Linked DNA regions of Oryzias latipes. The protein of the gene in region 1 purifies or fractionates together with the protein of each later gene. This does not show direct contact. Links are inferred from orthologs where the notes say so. Each region holds a gene or a part of one and is shown in the gene's direction. Other genes may lie near its edges. The genes, in order: protein argonaute-1, tnrc6a and tarbp2.

Region 1 (3,651 bases):
CAGCCTTGTTTCTGTAAATACGCCCAGGGTGCAGACAGCGTGGAACCAATGTTCAGACACCTGAAGAACACATACTCTGGACTACAGCTCATCATTGTCATTCTTCCAGGAAAAACTCCAGTCTACGGTATTTCTCTGCTTTGCTTTTTGCTTTATTGTATTTATTACTTTGGATCAAAGGGATGAACAATTCTAAAGGTTTTCCAGGCAATCCTATTTACTTTGGAATTTGAGGTGTAGCAATCAACTGTTGTAACTTTTCCATATTTTATTTCACCTTTTTTTTTAAATAGCTGAAGTAAAGCGTGTGGGAGACACTCTTCTTGGCATGGCCACCCAGTGTGTTCAGGTGAAGAACGTGGTGAAGACGTCACCTCAGACCCTCTCCAACCTCTGCCTCAAGATCAATGTGAAGCTGGGAGGCATAAACAACATTCTGGTGCCTCATCAGCGGTGAGCTTTTTCTAAAGCGACATTGAAATGTGTTCTCTGAATAACTGCTAGACAACCATTGCAGACGGTCTTCCTTTGATCGTTCTGATGTTATTAATTTCATTTTTATGACCCATTTTTGCCCTTTTGCAGCCATGCGTGGGTGGAAAAGGTCTAAAACTTTTTTTTTTTTTTTTTTTTTTTACAAAGCCTCATTAAAGTTTTTTTTTTAAAACTTGTGTTAAAAACATTTGATGTCATTTCTGTATTGTCATAATATTACTCATTGAAATCCTGTGCTACTTGAGGAAGTATAATTTCCCAGTTCTCTTCCATGTGCCCCCTCAGTTCAGCAGTGTTTCAGCAGCCTGTTATCTTCCTGGGAGCAGATGTCACCCACCCCCCAGCTGGAGATGGCAAGAAGCCCTCAATTACTGCAGTGAGTCTCTAAAATCATGAATTTGAAAAAGTTATGGATAAGACTTGGACTGGTCTAATCTTAACATCTGGGTAAAACCTGTGTTTTCAGAAGTGCTTCTGACTTTAACTAGGATGAACTCAGTACTCATTTACTTCTGCCTTACAGGGAAAATGGAAATGTCCTAGAATTTAATCTCCAATTCTTTCAGTAGGGAGATAAACCAATAAGTTATCGAGGATAGGCTGCAGTTTGAATACATTACATTTTGTTTTTAGTTGCACTTTACAAGACGAGTTGAATGCCATTTCCACCATTAAAGCATCTCTCCCAGAAAGTCAGGTTTACACAATTTTACCATTTTTAATTGGATTACACATTTAAATAATTTAGTCATTTTCATAGACAAAATTAATCTTAGTTTAGCTGGAAATGTTTTCCGTTTTACAACGTGAACCCTCACAAATAGATGTTATAATTTCTATCTTAATTAAATAAATCATTCAAGCACAATAAATACACATGTTTAGGTTTGTCATTACCTAGAAAAAATCTTATTTTGTGATCATAAATACTCTGTTCACTCAACCTTCACCTCTAAGCTTCAATAAGCACACATTCTACTGGACTTTCAGTTTAGCCTCGTCACACCACACATGAGCACGAACAAAGGGAAAAAGGTAATAAAGGAGGAGCTTTACGAGAGACACGGATGCCTCATCACCGACTGTTTAGACAGGAAGTGACGGCAGCTACCGTTCTCCCTTTACCTCACCTCAGCTGTGGTTGGCTGTGTGGTTGCCTAGCGATTATGTCGAATGATTGAGTCACACAGAGAGGATTGGAGGAGAATAGGTAAGCCAGAAGCATCCTTACACAGGAGAAAATAGGTGATAAAGAATAACGTCGAGCCTACGCATTTCTCCAGTAGCAGCACTTAAGGGATGTTCACAAAAGTACACACAGACAAAAAAGACTGAAAGTACAACGATGCAACAAAGGAAGGATGTTGTATAGGCCATTTTCCAGTGTTAACTTTGATTTTTTTTTGTAGTTTCAGAACAAAGGTTTTTACGTATATGAAGAGCTATTACTATGTCAATTAGTGTATTTAAAGACAATTAAGTGTCTTTATTCATTCATTTTCTACCGTTTTATCCTTTCGGGGTCACGAGGCTGCCAGAGCCTATCCTGCCTATCCTGGCTACTAGGACTGTTCGCCAGTCTGTCGCAGGGCCACAATCACACACCCATTCACACAATCACACACCCATTCACTCTCACACTCACACCTAGGGACAATTTAGAGTTGCCACTTGACCTATGAAGCATGTTTTTGGACAGTGGGAGGAAGCCGCATGCACGGGGAGAACATGCAAACTCCACACAGAAAGGTGTTGATGTTTGGTTTCAGGTCCCCCAGCCGGGACTTGAACCAGGGGCCTTCTTGCTGTGAGGCAAGAGCGCTAAACACTGCGCCACAGTGCAGCCCAATTAGTGTCTTTAGTGTAATTTTTTTTCCAACATCTCTGCTGCTCCCCCTCTTTCAGGTGGTGGGCAGTATGGATGCCCACCCCAGCCGGTACTGTGCCACAGTGCGGGTCCAGAGACCCAGGCAGGAAATCATCGAAGATTTATCTTACATGGTGCGCGAACTGTTAATTCAGTTCTACAAGTCGACCCGATTCAAGCCCACCAGGATCATTTTCTACAGGGATGGTGTTCCTGAAGGTCAACTGCCACAAGTAAGAGACTCAAAGAAACGCACTGCTGTGAACTTTCCAAAGTAAAATGTTTATTTAAGGGGCCTTTTTCTTAATTTATTATATATTATTTTTTATATATGCCTTAGAAATAAAGTATTATTATTTTTGGTTATGTAGATTCTCCACTATGAGCTTCTGGCCATCAGAGATGCATGCATAAAGTTGGAGAAAGACTACCAGCCTGGTATCACGTACATCGTGGTACAAAAACGCCACCACACACGCCTCTTCTGTGCCGACAAATCTGAGAGGGTGAGTGCTCCACTGTTGTTTCAATCCCTCCTGAAATGTCTTTATTACATGTCTGTATTTATATTTGTCTCCTTTTCTTTTCCAGATTGGTAAGAGTGGCAATATTCCTGCAGGGACTACAGTGGACACCAGCATCACTCATCCCTTTGAGTTTGACTTCTATTTATGTAGCCATGCAGGCATCCAGGTAATCAACTCACTAACGCGTCAACCTTTGACCCCAGCCCCCCCTGCTAATGCAAACCATTTTCTTTGCCAGGGCACCAGCCGGCCGTCTCATTACTACGTCTTATGGGACGACAATCGTTTCACCGCTGATGAGCTGCAGATTCTAACCTACCAGTTGTGCCACACCTATGTGCGCTGTACCCGCTCGGTCTCCATCCCGGCACCAGCCTACTACGCTCGTCTTGTGGCCTTCCGTGCCCGCTACCATCTGGTAGACAAAGAACACGACAGGTCAGTAGGTTTCAGGTCATTTTTGGCCAAAATAAAAAAAAAAACTGTCGTTTTCAGAGTGGCTGTAGTTCTCCCCCTTACTAAGAGCTTGGAGCAGAGAGCTTGTGCCGCGCCCATCGTATTTTTTATTTCACAAAGAAGCCAGTTTTTAAACAGCATTTTTCGTCTGCTCTTGATTCACAACGATTTGAAAAAAGGAAATACTCACTGCAACAGACTGTCCAGGGTGTGCCCCGCCTTCTCACTGCAGTAGCCGGGTCAGGCTCCAGCAACCCTGTGACCCCGAAAGGAATATAGAGGGTTAAGAAAATGGATAGAATACTC
Region 2 (4,393 bases), on another chromosome or scaffold:
GACAAGACCCAAGGTGTAGGCTGTGTAAAGAGGCACCTGAAACAATTCAGCACATAACTGCAGGGTGTAAGATGCTTGCAGGGAAAGCATACATGGAGCGCCACAATCAAGTGGCTGGAATAATATACAGGAACATGTGTGCAGAATATGGACTGGAAACCCCAAGGTCAAAATGGGAAACACCTCTGAAGGTGGTAGAGAATGAGAGGGCAAAGATCCTGTGGGACTTCCAGATCCAGACTGATAAGGATGGTAATGGCGAACCAACCAGACATTGTAGTGGTGGATAAAGAACAGAGGAAAGCCATTGTGGTGGATGTGGCAGTGCCAAGCGATGGGAACATCAGGAAGAAGGAACATGAGAAACTGAAGAAATACCAGGGACTCAGAAGAACTGGAGAAAGCATGGAAAGTGAAGGTGACAGTGGTGCCTGTGGTAATTGGAACACTCAGGGCAGTAACCCCCAAGCTGGAGGAGTGGCTGCAACAGATCCCTGAAAAGACCTCAAACCTCTCAGTCCAGAAAAGCGCAGTGCTAGGAACAGCCAAGATACTGCACAGGACCTTCAAGCTCCCAGGCCTCTGGAAGAGGACCCGAGCTTGGAGGAGAAACCACCTGCGGAAGGGTTAGAGGGGCATTTGTTTTTAGTTTTATAGACATATATAAATATATGTATGTATATATATATATAGATAGAGAGAGAGAGAGAGAGAAAGAAAGAGAGAGAGAGAGAGAGAGAGAGAGAGAGAGATAGATAGATAGATAGATAGATAGATAGATAGATAGATAGATAGATAGATAGATAGATAGACAATATATATATATATATATATATATATATATATATATATATATATATATATATATATATATATATATATATATATATATATATATATATATATATATATATATATGTATATGTATATGTATAATTTATTTATTACTATTATTTATTAGTATTTTATTAGTATTTGTATTTATAAGTATTTTTACCTTGTCAATAGTTTTCTAGTTTTGTCCATTTTCAGTTGATTTTACAAATTTATTAAAGGAAAGTTCCTTGTCTTGTTCATCCACAAGTTAAAGTATTTTGCTTTAAATGTGTAATTTCATACACAAAATGTGCATTTATTTGTCACAATTGTCGTACTTGCCATCAAACTTTAACTATGTAGAAATACCAAAGTATGTTTTAGATGGGGAGTGACACACTTTCAAAATTCTATAATTTGAGACAAATTTAAAACGGACAGCATTTCCTATGTGTTTCAAATCTTACATCAAATTTTTTTCTTAAATTTTAATAAATTTATAAATCGTCAAACAATATACTTTTGTTTATGTTTGTCTGATGAAAGCAGAATTTAATGCGACTGAATAGCTTTTCTATAATATATTGTTTTTCTTGTTTGTTTGTTTTTACAGCGTTTTGTCTTCTCAGTCAGAGGAAGTGGTTATGCGTTTCCGCCCCCGCCTCCTTCCCCCCTCTTAGAATCACACACGTACACAGCCTGAGCCAGTGTAAACCTTATTAATGTCTACGGAGTGAACGCAGAGAGGAGGGGAGCGTAGAGCACAAACGAAAGCGGCGAGCCAAGAAAATGGCGATCGTGCAGAGGATGAATGCCCCCACTCGTAGATGCTGCAAACGCATTGCATTTCTTTAGCCTTACTTAGTTTATTTTCCACTCTCTGTTGCACTTTATATTTCAATGAGGTAAGTTTTGTTTTAATTTTTATTTATTTTTTATTTATGTTCTTGTGTTAAGCTATGCAGGCAAGGAGCTGGAGGAAAGACCAGAGGTCGGTAGATAAGTTGACCAGCCGCTGTTGTTTAGTTAGCTATGACGGAGCTAATATTGTTAAGTACTACTATGCTATCCTTTCCTATCCTATCAGGTTGCGTTTAGAAAGGCGGTTTGGTTTTATAGTTTTGCTAAAGATGCAACTCTCGTTTGTTTTTTCCTAAACGCAAATGAAAAATAAAGCCATTTTAAATGTGTTAACAAGGCGGTTTAACCTTGTCCTTTCGCTTAACTATTCTAGATTGGTCGCTGTATGTTTGTAGCTAGGAAAATGCGTATTTTGTTAACTAATTGTCTTAAATGTATTTTTTTTTTACTTTGTCTAGACTATCATTGTTCTCTGTAAACAACTTACCAATATCGCTAAATTAGAGGAAAAATACCTCGTAGTTGCTATTAGCATTAGCTTAGCAACATGCTAATTTGACGACGCAGGTTCGTCGGTGGGAACAGGTAATACTGTGCACAAATTGCATTAAGAACACTGTTTTACTACTATCACTTCGCATATAAATTAAAAATGTCATGAATTAATTTCAAATCTATATTGAAATTAACCTGCGGAGTTGTTAGATAAAAGCCCCCTATGGTATAAAGCGGTACGACAGCAATACCCCTAAACCCCTAATCTGGTCTGGGTTTTTTTGTAGTCAAATCCACATTACTTTTCGTCCTGATCTTACAACACCGAGGTGGACATCAGAGTTTAGATGAATATGCATCGGTGGTAAATTTACTTATCACTCGAGGTTCTTAGATTTGATTGCAAACCTACAGCTGGAGAGAGAAGCCATGTTGGTTAAGCTGCAAGTCGGGCAACAGCTGAGATAATGGCCGTTCAGGACCCGACTTGTAACTTTGACCTACACAGACTCTCACTGTCCCCTGCTGTCACTTTACACGCACTTGGTTTCCCTTCACTTTGACGAGCTGTAAGAAACCTCTGTACCACGTTAAGGCAGTGTAAACGTGCATTTCACCACAGTTCACTTTGAGTGTATGTACTGAACTTGCATAATACTTCATGCTAGTGTCTATGCGTGCAGGATAATTTGGATGTTTGCCCTGAATGTGATTTTAGGAATGTTTCAAAGTTTGCAGGTCATATTACAAGTTAATGCCTCTGGGAACTTGTACTATGGTGTTCACTAGAATCATTTTCTTGCACAATCGGGTACTTTCTGCAGGAAAATGTTCTGGTTACACTTAACTTTATTCATTTATCTTTGGGAATAAACTATTTCCTTTCTCTTTTTGCTAAAGAGATTTGGAATTGGAAACTGTTGCCACCAAAGAAACTAAAGCGTCTTAACGGGTGAGTGAAACTCTTTTAAACCCAGGAAACTGTTGGTGATGCTGAAATGGTTTAATGCAGTTAATGATGATTGGTGACATATATAAACAAATTTATGTTCAAAACTGCATTTCTGACTTTTTCTTGACTAATGGTTAATCAGGAGCAGAGGGGGAAAATGCAGTTTGAAATGGATTGTATTTGTGATGTAGAAAAAACGTTGGCAAGCCATTCTTATGCAACCACTTGTAGACGACCAGATCCATGTCTGTCTTTGTTTTCCTCGTCTGAGCTGGCATCTGGGTCAACTGTACAGCTGGATAGCTTCAAATTTTGCTCGCCATTTTTGTTGCACCGCTAATGTTAGGTTGGGGTTGTAAGGGGCTGTAAACTTGTGGGAAAGCATGTAAACAGATGTATGATGGGAAGTGGGGGCGGACTTACTCCACACAAACAGTCCTGTCCACAACTCGGAGGTGAATTTCTAATGAACTGCTGCTGCTCTCACTGGTGTTTGATTTTGGCTAAAAATCATAATTAAATCATTATCATAATTAAAACATCACTGGATGCTTTTAAAATAGATCCAAAGATGATTTGAGTGGGTCTTTCTTTGGGGTGTTTTGTCACAAATGTTTAATAGGTTTAACCATACCCCATCTGATTTGTTGAATTATCAGTGTAAACCAAAGTGAAAGCAATACATTTTCTGAATCCCAGTATATGATGTCATGGCTGTCTGAGTGATGTTCTGTCAGCGTTGTGAGTTTGGGAAGCCGCTGGGAGGGGCGGGGGCTTGGGATGAGCTGCGCCTGCTTATGCTAGCACATGCAGTTCCGTTTGAATTGAATTGGGGGGTCTGGGTTGGTCAGGTCACATTGTGCTGAATTGTAGCCTTTCCCCCCATTTCTAAATGAGAAGCCAGCGTCCTGATGTGTTGTGCACAGGGAGGTGTTTGTACTGCTCATTGTGTTTAGACAATCATTGCACATGTAAGCACACAATAGGACTATGTCTCATGACTACTTTGTATACTCAAACGGTTCAGTTATGACCACTATTGCTGGTTTCAGTAACCAGTTATTTAGTGTTAGATCTGCTTGGTCAATTCTCTTATCTGGAGTAGGAAAATTACCCGAATTTTTATTTTGTGAAGAAAACAATCCTGTTAAGTCAACTCATGGTGTTTACCAATATACTCTATTATGGTGGTTTGCTTTTATTTTCCTGGAACTTATGTTGCTGCTTAAAATGCACTATATTACCCAAAGTATTCGCTCACCTGCCTTG
Region 3 (4,109 bases), on another chromosome or scaffold:
CCAAGAGCCATTTGGACCAGTTTATTAAGGACCAAAATTCAGCTACAGCCACAAAATCCCACTTTACTGTTTAGAAGTAAAGCCTATCATATTTTTCTGTCCAGTAGGCCATTCATTTATAGTTTTTAACTCTTGTGCTATCTTGTGGGGTCAAAATGACCCCACCCTTACATTGATGTGTTATTCCTACCATGACAAAGGTGGATAAAGGTGAAGAGGATTTCATGGAATCCATGGACACCACTGAAAATCACAAATCATTGAAGAAAAAAGGTTCAGCGCACTGTCTAGTGGGTTCAGATGACCCAACTCCCAATGTTACTGTGCCTAGGATAGCACAAGGGTTACACATTTTAAATAATAGATTTATAGTTGTGTTATATTTCTATTGTATTACTTTTGGGATAGCACATGCAAATTCTTTGCAAAATAAAATAAATCCTGTCAAATAAGATCCTGCTATAGTAGATATACAATTTTTATTTTGAGAACTTTGTATCTGAAAAGCAACTAGATAGGTAGGAATATGAGTTAAAACTTATTCTTATAATACCGGTAATTATTTTAATTAGTATTATAATCTGTTTTAATATTTATAATTTAAATTATTACAAAAATGAATGCATTTTGGAGGAACGGTAAAGCTTTCAATGCCTCTTGATTTAGAGTAAGGTAGGTAAGTAGAGTAGTAAGGGGAAAAAAGAGTTCATTTTTAACTATGGTAAAATTTCTTCAGTTTAAAAATCTAAGAGTAAATAAAAACATAACTAACAAACCTATTATTTGTTCAAAACGTTTGCATTTTCCTTCAAAACTGCAGAGCTAATAATGGAGGGCCGCATGTGGCTCCAGAGCTCTGGACCCCCGGCTCTAACAAAATCAGTTTCAAAAATAAGTTAACAAAATTTTAAATTGTTTTAACTGCTAAATGGCTTATTTGAGTTGTGTAATATATCAACTTATTTCCATTTTCATGGAATAGACTTGCCAAAAATATTAACTTGATTTTTGTAGAAACATTTCTACTTGTTTATGTTTCTTCAAATAATGGCCTTTAATTTTTAGTTCAATCTGACTACAATTACAAATCATTGTATTCATTTTATACACATCATATCATGTCATTCATTGATTACCCATATTACCCATAATAATTGCATCTTAAACATTTATTTAAGTTGTGTTATGCCCTTTGTACTTTTGTAATGTTACATGTTCATGTTGTATTAATTCAAGACATATTTGGTACTAGGAAAAGCCCGCGCTTCTTTCGGCCAATCACGATTTGTGTGTGCTACAGGATGCTATTACGTCATATTTGTGCGCCGAACGCTGTCGCTATGGAGGGGGTTTACTTCGTTTTTCTTTCAAATACTGTAGCCTTAAAATGGGATTAGAACTCAAACGAACACTCGTGTCTAATGAATGCTAGATAAGCTTTTGGTAGAAGGATTTTCCATCCGCAATAGTTCAGCTCTATCTGCGTGAAATAGGGAATGAACGACGATACAGCATCGGACAGCTGGAAGAGAAACTCCGGGTGCTCCAGGTGAGTCCAAAGCTAAGCTAACTCAAATCTTGTCTTTGCTGGCAATTCCTAGCAATGAGCAATTCTTAGTTTTTAATGCAGCTAAACATTTTTGAGGCCTGAGTTCACGATGATCCAAGCCTGCAGCAGCACAGTATTTTTTATTTAATGTTTATCTTTCAGTCAGAAGCCTGCATAGAGAAATATGTATACACGGGTGTCATGCAGACTTTCTTTTGATAGGAGATGCTGGTGTCTCTAAGTGATGGACAAATGTACACCACGTGAAGACACTAGGCCATCCCAACATGCCCTTCCTCCTCCTTTTCACACCCATGTTAACCTGCCTTGTTTTGAAAGTTTATGTAATTTGTTTTACTCAGATATTGGGTGACACCAGTTAAACAGACGTTTTGTCTGTAAAGCGTTGGAAACTGAACCATGCACAAGAACTTCTGAAATTAATAGTGACCTCCCTCCTTATGATGACTGAACTCTTCTTTCACCTCCAGCTTTCAATCAGAGGAACGGGCTTTGCTCATTTCAGGATCCTGAGAATCGGCGAACCCATGTTGTAGATTCTCTATAATCCTGTCACAAAGCTGCTTTTATTCTTTGTAATAATTTAATTGCATAGCATTCTACATCTTTGTGTGTTATACTGGCCAAAATGCTAGTTCAAGTAGTTAATTTAAACAGTTTTTTTTAATCAAAAACCAGTCACTGAAAAATGACTTGTTTACTGTCATTTGAAACTAAGAGAACCATTTCAAGGACAGTTTATGTACTTTAAGCATTTTATAGCTTAGTGTTTCTGGGGAAGTTCTGGTTAATAATAATTTGACTGTAATATTTGTTTTATTTAACCTCTTAAAGATTTACTCCAGTCATCTTTTTATCTATTGTAAAAGCATTCCCAGCTGTCTTTTTATTCTGATTTTGCCATTTTTGGCCTAAATTATAAAGCTTGTCCTTTTTTTTGGACATAGTTTCTGCAGAGTGGCAGGGGTTTATCAGAAATGTGGCAAGGCAAGTTTATTTGTATAGCACAATTCGTACACAAAGTAATTCAAGGTGCTTCACAAAACAGAAAAATGCATTAAAATCACAATACATCATAGAAATAATCAACGTAATATTTACTTTAAAAGAAAGGGAAAAAAATGTGCCTGTTATAGGCAGGACTGTTGGCACAGAGTAAGCCCGCCCCTTCTTCTTGACATTCCTCTGTTTCTCACACCCCCAACCTAACATTAATGGTGCAACAAAAATGACGAGCAATATCTGAGCTATCCAGCCGTACAGTTTTAAGGCCATATTCCATCTCAGACGAGGAAAACAAAGACATACATGGATCTTGTCGTCTACAAGTGGATGCATCAGAATGGAGTGGAGCAGGGAGCTTGTGGCCTACCATAGTACCTTCCACTTCCCATCTACAAGCTTTTTCCGACTGCATTTTTGCCTGATTCACAGCATATATATCCTCCATCATCAGAAAAATGCCACAAGAGCATGCTTAAAAAACACTATTTTCATCTGAATAGTTCTTTAAACTCTTTTTAAATCGAACAGCATCGTCTACACAGAGCATATCAAGGTTTTTTTTAATTAAAACTGTTGTTTTTTTTCCCCTCCTCATCTAGTATTGAGCAAATGCTGGCTGTGAATCCCGGAAAGACGCCCATCAGTCTGCTGCAGGAGTATGGAACGCGGATAGGCAAAACCCCAGTGTATGACCTGCTGAAGGCAGAGGGACAGGCCCACCAGCCCAACTTCACATTCCGCGTCTCCGTGGGAGAGATCAGCTGCACCGGCCAAGGGCCCAGCAAAAAGGCGGCTAAGCACAAGGCAGCTGAGGCTGCTCTGAAGATGCTGAAAGGAAGCCTGGAAGGTCCCGCTGGTGTCGTTGTCGGAGTGGACGAGTTTGTTGGTGTGGATGTGTTGGTTGATGAAGACGGGTAAGGATACAACTTAATATTTAAGTTTCCCTTTTTGTTGTTTTTCTTTTTTTTTTTTTTTTTTAATACAAAAGGTCAATTAATGTTTCTTTTTATGCCTCACATTGTTGAGTCTCCATATAATTCCCAGGTAGACTCTGTTGAGATGATTGAGATTCAGACCTGTTTGACACGTCCTGTCTACTTTTTCACCTTCATGCAGACCCCAGTCAGAGATGAAAACTACAAACACTTCCCAGCAGTCTGAATGTAATCCTGTCGGGGCTCTTCAGGTAAATGAACACAAAAAAACTTCAACAAAATTCTGTCTTTGAGTTTTTAATCATTGAATTTGTTTTTTCCTCATGTTAGGAGTTGGTGGTACAGAAAGGATGGCGTTTGCCAGAGTACACAGTCACCCAGGAGTCTGGTCCAGCCCATCGCAAAGAATTTACGATGACCTGCAGAGTTGAAAGATTTGTCGAAATTGGTATAAGTCTCAATGTGGAGATATTGTTTCTACTTCAAGTTCTTACTTTATTTTAAACCAAACTGCCCTGCTTTTCTATTTGATTATTTTTGAAACTTTAGTTTGTACTCATGTTATAAAACTGTCATTTTTTTATTTCTTATTTTAGCAT

What was found.
Region 2: the proteins of protein argonaute-1 (region 1) and tnrc6a purify together in Homo sapiens (affinity purification with mass spectrometry; 10 studies listed by BioGRID and IntAct, with this or other methods). This does not show direct contact. The link is inferred for Oryzias latipes from reciprocal best matches to the Homo sapiens genes AGO1 and TNRC6A.
Region 3: the proteins of protein argonaute-1 (region 1) and tarbp2 purify together in Homo sapiens (co-immunoprecipitation; 4 studies listed by BioGRID and IntAct, with this or other methods). This does not show direct contact. The link is inferred for Oryzias latipes from reciprocal best matches to the Homo sapiens genes AGO1 and TARBP2.

The regions. Positions count from the first base shown.
Region 1 is NC_019874.2:24,557,639-24,561,289, forward strand, and holds part of protein argonaute-1, read left to right. Parts: coding exon 1-127; intron 128-293; coding exon 294-453; intron 454-780; coding exon 781-871; intron 872-2,400; coding exon 2,401-2,595; intron 2,596-2,733; coding exon 2,734-2,868; intron 2,869-2,953; coding exon 2,954-3,055; intron 3,056-3,116; exon of another isoform or gene 3,117-3,127; coding exon 3,128-3,327; intron 3,328-3,535; exon of another isoform or gene 3,536-3,601; intron 3,602-3,651.
Region 2 is NC_019866.2:17,690,698-17,695,090, forward strand, and holds the start of tnrc6a (trinucleotide repeat-containing gene 6A protein), read left to right. Parts: upstream 1-1,512; 5' UTR 1,513-1,721; intron 1,722-3,072; exon of another isoform or gene 3,073-3,124; intron 3,125-4,393.
Region 3 is NC_019863.2:10,469,188-10,473,296, reverse strand, and holds the start of tarbp2 (RISC-loading complex subunit TARBP2), read left to right. Parts: upstream 1-1,306; 5' UTR 1,307-1,496; coding exon 1,497-1,549; intron 1,550-3,174; coding exon 3,175-3,489; intron 3,490-3,691; coding exon 3,692-3,761; intron 3,762-3,840; coding exon 3,841-3,958; intron 3,959-4,109. UniProt on the Homo sapiens protein: Required for formation of the RNA induced silencing complex (RISC). Component of the RISC loading complex (RLC), also known as the micro-RNA (miRNA) loading complex (miRLC), which is composed of DICER1, AGO2 and TARBP2.